2 linked regions of the Coturnix japonica genome follow. The protein of the gene in region 1 purifies or fractionates together with the protein of each later gene. This does not show direct contact. Links are inferred from orthologs where the notes say so. Each region holds a gene or a part of one and is shown on either strand. Other genes may lie near its edges.

Region 1 (3,817 bases):
CAGTTCATCCCCTTCTGGCACAGACAGGTTCCGAGACCACTGCAGGGCATCCTTCTAAATGGACAAACAAAACTCAGGTGGCTGCAGTCCTCCTCCCAGTCCCCACCGTTTAAACCAAGGGAGCTGTTGGTTTCACAGATACACGTTTTATTTTAATCTCCTCCCTGTTTTAACTCTTTTGATGCAGAAGGATATTCCTAAGAATGTTTAGGCTCCTACTGGAGCAGAAGTCATGTGAACCACTAGCACACTTTAAAGATATTTCCAAGATGAATAACTCAGATATATCTGAAGTACATATTAGTGACTTTATACCATTCCTGGGAATCAAGCAAGCAGTTTCTAAGGAAGAGAAATATCTCAATCTTCATATCTCATCCTTACCAGTTAAAGAACAGGCATCACTCAAGAAGCCAGCTACTAGGATAGCAAGCCTGGGAGATGCATTTACTAACTGTGCAACCAAAACCATCTCAATTCCTTCTGTTTTCCTCCCCCAAAGTGTGACAATTTAACCAAATTTTCTGATGGTGGTAAAAGAGTTGCAAATGGAGTAATAGACAAGATATCAGTTGTCTATAAAGCTGATCTTTAACAGGGAATCCAACAGTACAAAATAACACCAACGAAAAGCCTGAGGCATTTTCAACACTGAAGATTACTGGGATAAAAGGCTAAAATAAAACATTTCAGAGAGAACTCTGAATGAGAATATATTTTGCTATCAAGATTTTACTTGTAGCTACAAGCTCTCAGACCAACATGATTTGCTGGTTGGCCACGTTCCTTTGTGGCTCTTGATGAGTGAAACAGGACTATTTTGGTTATCAACACCTGAGTTGAAAACAGAAAACTGGAGTAAGGATTTATCTTGCTTGTGTAATTCATTAAATAATAGGTGGGGTTGAAAGGAATGTACCACATATGGATGAATATAGCAGAAAGGTACAAAAGCTACGATGAAATAATGAATTCCAGACACACTTTCACATGATGATCTCACACGCAGCACACTCAGCTCCTATGATGCTCAGCGACAGTTTAACACTCAGCTATGCATAACAAGCAGAACTCACAGCTCGGCATTCAACCAAGAGCAAAGACTCAATATTTACCTTCAGTGTGAACAGGCTGATCCGTCCGGGCAGTTTGTAGAAGAGCCCATCGCCCCCCCTGGAATTGGAATGGAGCATGGCGTTGAGGCAGGCCAGGGGAGAGGTGCCACTGAAAAACAGGAGGGCACAAAAGGGACTCGGTCATTTCCAGAAACGGCCTTATCAAGAAAACAGCCCAAAATGAAAGACCTGTTTAAATCAGCATCAGTTGCTGACGGAGGGAAACAAAGATGAGACTCATTATCTTTATGGGACAGGCACTTCAGTAAGAATAGTATTACTGTTTCCCATTCTGACCTGTACGTTTGCCTCAACACATCACAGCAAAGCAATCTGCAGAGAACAGGAAACGTTAGGCTCATTTTGAAGTTACTCTTGGTCATTTTTAGTTATTTCTTTCATCACACGTTTCCTCCCTTACTCCGCTTGTAATTGTCAGACTTGGATTGATTCTACTAAAAACCAGATTTAGTCAGCAGCAGCAAAACGAAAACAGAAACAGCAAAAATGGTGCACATACGTAGTTCTGGAATGTCTCCCCTGACAGAACTCTGTACTGGCAGAGCTGGATGTAAAAGGTCTGATGAACCCACTTGACAAGCCCTTTGCAATGCCCCAGTTTTGCCATTCATGACCAAAGCAACCATCCTACGCACACAGCAATGGAACTTCCATGCCGTGTAACCTCATGTTTTCCAGTAAGTCACACAGGGGCACGCAGAAAGCTACCTGAAAGAGACATTAAAGCAGCCCTGTTTTCACCGTTATTAAAAGCAAAACTGAAAACTGGATGGAGACAAAAAGATATCAAAGAAAGTCATCCTCATACTGAAAACTGAGCTCAGAATCATTGCTATTTCCACTCTCAGTGCATTTGGGTTTTGGGCGTTGATTCACAAGCCTCAGCAGCAGACGAAAATCACCCTCAATCATTTTTAGATACCATGAAAAAAACCTCCCAGCCTTCTGGCCTGTCAGACAGTGCTTTCCATTTGGTACTCAGCAGAACATTTCAAGTAAGCCAGCCAGCCACATTTCTTGAAATGGCAAAAAAAAACAACCCACCAAAACAAAAAAAAAAAAAACAACAGAAAAAACAGATTCTTTTTTATTTTTTTTTTCCCCAAAAGGAGGGAAAAACAAATAGAACTTTTCCAGGAGGAAGATCTTGGCTCTTGCTGGGTGCTGACATCCCAGCTTAGCCCAGAGCCCATAGGGCCGCTAAGGAATGGGTCCTTCCAACAGGTTGGGGTCACCCCCAGACCACGACAGCACAGCCTCAGTATTGATTCAAAGGGAAAACCCCCTCCTGAGTCGCTAAGCCTTTTCCTTCAGGAAATGCATTTTCAGGAAGGGCTTCTATTCATGTAGCAGGAAAGCCTGCTGCATATTTAGCTAGACAGGATCACTGCCTGTGTCCTGTGAACAATTACACTGGGAAGAAAACAGGCTTTTCTTACAGCAGAGAGTTAACAAGGGGAAGGAAAAGCAGACACCCCAAAGGAAATCCACTGACAGCCAGATGAGCGATGAAGAGGACATATCATCTGTACAATGTCAAGAGCCACGACTACATAAACAGTGCTTTCACAGAGCTCAAAAGCACTAGAAGTGCCAGCAGAGCACTGTAAGATACAGCGATACCCTTCTGAGTCTTCTAAAATGTCCTAAAATGTAACGTCTGCTCTAGAAGTGAAGCATCAGAGGAGACAGAACTGAAAATATTACCAAACTAAGCCCAGTAGTAGAAGGCACCAGGAGCTACTTATGAGATAAGTATGCAGGTAAACAGTAAATCAGTGCAGTCTGATCAGCAACAGGCACTCATTCTGTAATAGATGGATGAAGGGAACTCTGTAGGTTACCAAAAAAATCCAAGGAAAAAAAAAAAACCACAGTATTATAAATAATTGTATTGTCAACTGAAATCACCATGCTGGAAAGGGAAAAAAGGAAGCAGGAAAGCAGGCTGGGGATGAGGCAGAGTCACACAGAACGGCTCAGGCCTTCTATGCAGCCTGCTCCATGAACATGCCGGGTTTTACATGAGATCATCAATACTAACCTCATTTCCTTCAGTCCTTCAGCCTCTATGACCTGCAGAATCTGCTTTGGAGTCATGGGAGCATCTGAGTAGTTTTCCAGCACCTGAAAAGACAGAAACCCCAGGTGTCATCACAAGCTTGTATCTATGTTCACAGAACTGCTCAATACGCCAGAGTTCAGAGCCAGAAATACACCTCTTAGAGCTTTATTTATCTACAGAGGTGCTAAAAATTTCAGGTACTTCAACATCATAGTAAGCAGAACAAAAGCCTTGACTCCACCACATGAAAAGCCAGGGGGAGCTTCACTAGACTCCAACATGCAATATCAATTTGCTACCAAACAGCCTTTAAAACTGTACAGCATAGTAGTTAGAGACCTTTAGTGATGTAAAATGTTCTCCCAACCATATGCCTTTCTACCTCCCAATAAGGAATCCAGCATTTTTCTGGCAATAAAAATATTACTGGGCAACTGTGTCATTCCTTCCTTGGCTTATAGCGTTCAGTTCATCTATCAAGGGGAGCGCGGTGGGTAAGTGTTGAGAAGGGGAGAGTTCAGGATAAGATAACAACAGTGGTAAAGGACATGGAAAAAATGATGGGTAGGTGCTAAAAAAAGGTGTAAGCCTTGTGCCTTCGAAGGAAAATGAGTCA
Region 2 (3,817 bases), on another chromosome or scaffold:
CAGCACAGCAGCTCAGCACAGCAGCTCAGCACAGCAGCTGCACGACGAGTAAAGCCAAGAACCGTGACAGTCAAACTGGCAAACCAAAGCTTTATTTGTTTTGTCTCAAGTCTTCGCTACAGTCCGCAGGGCTGCGCCCTCTATACACCATTGCCACCCATTTGTGAAACGTATTTGGCACCAGTTTGTGGGTTTTTTTTTTTCCTTTTCCTCAAACGCTTTTGGGGGAGGATTCGTTTTCCGATCAAATTTGGTTTTCTAACAGAATAGGAGCTGCCATCGTGATGCCAATCAGCTGTTATTGGAGAAGCTTAAAAACAAAAACGGAACAAAAAAAGTCCTTATCTAAACCAACACGTTACAGAGCTCCAAAACAGAGGTCAAACATTAAAAGGCTGATATAGGCTCGAGTGGTTTATAAAACCTATAAAAAAAGACTACACCAGCAAATATGCCCTTCAGTCCGCACAGTCTAGAAATGAATGCAGGGAGCAACACTCGCTAGCTGGAAATCTTGCCATGGGAGAAGCACACGTATACCACCAGGAGTACCCCAAATCAATCGTTAAGAGGCTCCAATTCCCAATCTATAAGGAGACAAACGCGTCAGAAGATTGCATCAAATCCAAGGGATCGTAATTGGTTGGGCAGTTCAAACTTCCCCCACCAACCTCTCCTCTCACACATAGAGGCTCACATGTACACGGCTCAATCCCGTTCCAATTCCTCATGGAATAAAAGGATCCCAGGCTCTATAGAGTCTTCCCCTATCATGCAAGAAATACGGTCCGGCTGTGCTCTAATTACCATCGTGTATCATTTCAGCCACAGAGTACCAGGCAGATTAAGTAGAAATGCACAGTTTTTAGCTCATCGTCTCTGCACAAGTGTTAGAGAGGCTGAGTTCCTGGACAGGTCTGGCTGGGCACACAGACAAGTCTCTTCATGCAGATTCACTGGTTTCCACTGGCTTGATCATGTGGTCCGGTTTGTTGCCAGCAGCATAGTGATCCCACATCTGAAGGTAAAGCCTCTCCAGGTCCATGGTGTACTGCTTGGTGTTGAACAAAGGGCTGGATATTCTCTGCTTCCAGACTTTGCCACGTATTTTTTTCAGGCTGCAAAAATAAGTTGAAGGCAGTCACAAACGCTTCCCAACACTTCTCAGTGCTGTTTGCTTTTAAAATGGGTTTCAGCAGACCCAGAACTGCCAGTACAAAAACGGCAACTTCCACACCAAGTTCATGTGGCTGTTTCACTCCCTCTTCGTTTCTGATACAACCAGCATTATCTCAGCAGAACAGCTGTGACATTCAGTTGTCACATGAACTATTCTGCTCTGTATTACTGCACAGTTTTAACCTACAACTGTTTCAAATTCAACCTACAAGAACTAAAAGTGAAATATGGTGCAGTTTTTAATCAGACAAGAGCCTGTACTTGAGCAATTCCTTCACAACAGCAGCCACGTTACTGGAGCCCTGTTACATTTACTGCAAAAACAGAAGCAGAGTTAACTGCAAGACTCTACAACACCTCAAGATGAGAACTGTCCTATTTCCAACATTAGGCTAATACGCACAACTACTGATAAACTCAACACTGTGACCCACCACAGCACTTTCATTCTTGATCTAACAAGCTACAAAGTGCAAGTTTACTTACTATTCCAGATCAGTTCCCAGTTTCACAGCAATATCCTCATATTCCTGCCTACTTTTTGCAATAAGCTCAAGACAACCAAGGCAAGTAAGCTGGGAGGCAGCGACTCGTGACGCAAGCGTTTCACCTGTAAAGGCACACAAATAGGAGTTACCAAGTAACACGCTACAGAGTGCAGACCTGTTTCTCTAGAGGAAATGAGGAAGTCTGCCAGACCCACTCCCTGTTATGGTTACAATAACGGTATCAAATTCACCCACTCCATCCAGGTTTCCCACAGCGTTACCTGGCATGGTGACCATAGGAGTCCCAGCCCAGAGCACATCCATCCCCGTCGTGTGCCCATTGCACAGTGGAGTATCTAGACAAACATCAGCCAGCTGCCCTCTCCTCACATGCTCTTCCTTGGGGGCAACAGGAGAAAAGATGATTCTGTTCTGGGAAAGACCCAGGTTTTGGGCATACTGCTGAATATTGGGCTCTCCTACGGCTGGGAAACGCAGCAGCCACAACACACTGTTTGGAACTCTTTTTAGGATCTGTAACAAAAAATCAAGACAAAAACAGTTACGTTAGAAAGCTTTCCTTATTTGGATAACAAGAGGTCATGATGTAACAAGATGAAGTTAAAAGCGTTCGTCACTCAGTACTTTCTCTCTTGGAGCACAGAGCAAAAAACAAGACCACAATAGTACTGAATTCCTAATGCTGCTGAAAAAGAAACAATTCTGAGCGAGTATGGAGCAGCACTTGAAAAGTAAGTCTTGAAATCCACGATCTCATTCATTCACTGCAACGCACTTCTGAATAAATTAATACCACTGTAGACCAGAGGTTCGATCTTAGTTTCCAGATCCACAGATACTCACATTAGCCCACATCTGCAGCGTGGAAGGGTCAATCTTATAGAGTTGATTGAAGTTGCAGTATACAACAGCATCTTCTGGTAAGCCATACTGAGAACGGGTGGTAACAATGATGGTTCGTGGAACTTCTTCTCCAGTTGCTGCTTTGTTGTTAATCTAAATAAAGAAAAAAAAAAATAAAGCCATTGGAATGCTGAAAATAAAGAAAACGTGCTTATGCCCTATGGAACATTCCTGACATACATACTGCAACACGTGCTGGCATCAGAAGTTACTCAAAGCTTATCTTTCACTTCTTATACAAAGACTACATTGTCTACTTACCCAGAACAAGAATTTAAGTGGTGTGTGTACATGCTTGTGGATACCACGATGCTACAACCACCAAGGAACAAAACACTGGGCATTTTCATGCCCTGGCTACGTCTCCCTGCAATTCCAGGTCATTAGAAAGAAGAGGCATTTAAGGAGCACTCCCCTCCTTAAGGTCACCTCACTGCCTCGAAACTAAAAATGAGAGCAAGGCTTGAAGGAAGAAGAGAACAGTATTTAGAAAGCAAAGGGATTTCTTTTTGTTTGTTTTGGGGGTTGGGGTGGATGGGTTTTTTCTTTTAGTATTCTTAGTCTTGAGGATTAGTAAAATGGAAGTATAATTCAAAGTCAGAATGACGGACTTTTGTAGGCTATTTTCTGTTTGTTTTTAAGCAATAGGCAATGGTCAGAAGGAAACGTCCTTACAGATATGGCAAAACAGGTACTTACAGCCTCTGTCTGTTTTAAATTTAATGTTTTACATACATATATATATATATATATATTTAAAGTTTATCTCACTGCCACTGCTGCCAGCCAAAATAAATGTACTGTTGACAAACTTGACATTCATGGGAATGACTCACTGTCACTGACTCTGTTAGAACATGGAGCCAGTATGTTGAAACTGTAAAGACATGAAGATAAACAAGATAATTTAGTTCAAAAGAAATAGGTAAGAGTGCTACTGACCCATAACACCAAAAACCTCAACCACAATGCACATTAATAGTACCAATACCCCACATTACAACACATACAAAGAAGGGTTATCTTAGTATGATCAAAAGAGGTCAAAATCTCACAAGAGATCAAACCACATTTTAAAAGGGCACCAATGCAGCTTAGATTGGTTCTCTTGGTGGTGGAGTGATTAAGACAAGAAACTCCCTGCTATTTCAGGGCACAGCATTTCCAGGAAAGAAAGCCAATAAGATTACTGATCAAACTAAGATGAAGCCTATTGCCAACTCAGA

What was found.
Region 2: the proteins of ASXL1 (region 1) and OGT purify together in Homo sapiens (affinity purification with mass spectrometry; 3 studies listed by BioGRID and IntAct, with this or other methods). This does not show direct contact. The link is inferred for Coturnix japonica from reciprocal best matches to the Homo sapiens genes ASXL1 and OGT.

What each region holds. Positions count from the first base shown.
Region 1 is NC_029535.1:8,888,060-8,891,876, forward strand, and holds part of ASXL1 (polycomb group protein ASXL1), read right to left. Parts: intron 3,264-3,817; coding exon 3,181-3,263; intron 1,225-3,180; coding exon 1,116-1,224; intron 55-1,115; coding exon 1-54.
Region 2 is NC_029519.1:2,145,659-2,149,475, forward strand, and holds the end of OGT (UDP-N-acetylglucosamine--peptide N-acetylglucosaminyltransferase 110 kDa subunit), read right to left. Parts: intron 2,685-3,817; coding exon 2,532-2,684; intron 2,202-2,531; coding exon 1,949-2,201; intron 1,790-1,948; coding exon 1,666-1,789; intron 1,119-1,665; coding exon 944-1,118; 3' UTR 74-943; downstream 1-73. UniProt on the Homo sapiens protein: Catalyzes the transfer of a single N-acetylglucosamine from UDP-GlcNAc to a serine or threonine residue in cytoplasmic and nuclear proteins resulting in their modification with a beta-linked N-acetylglucosamine (O-GlcNAc).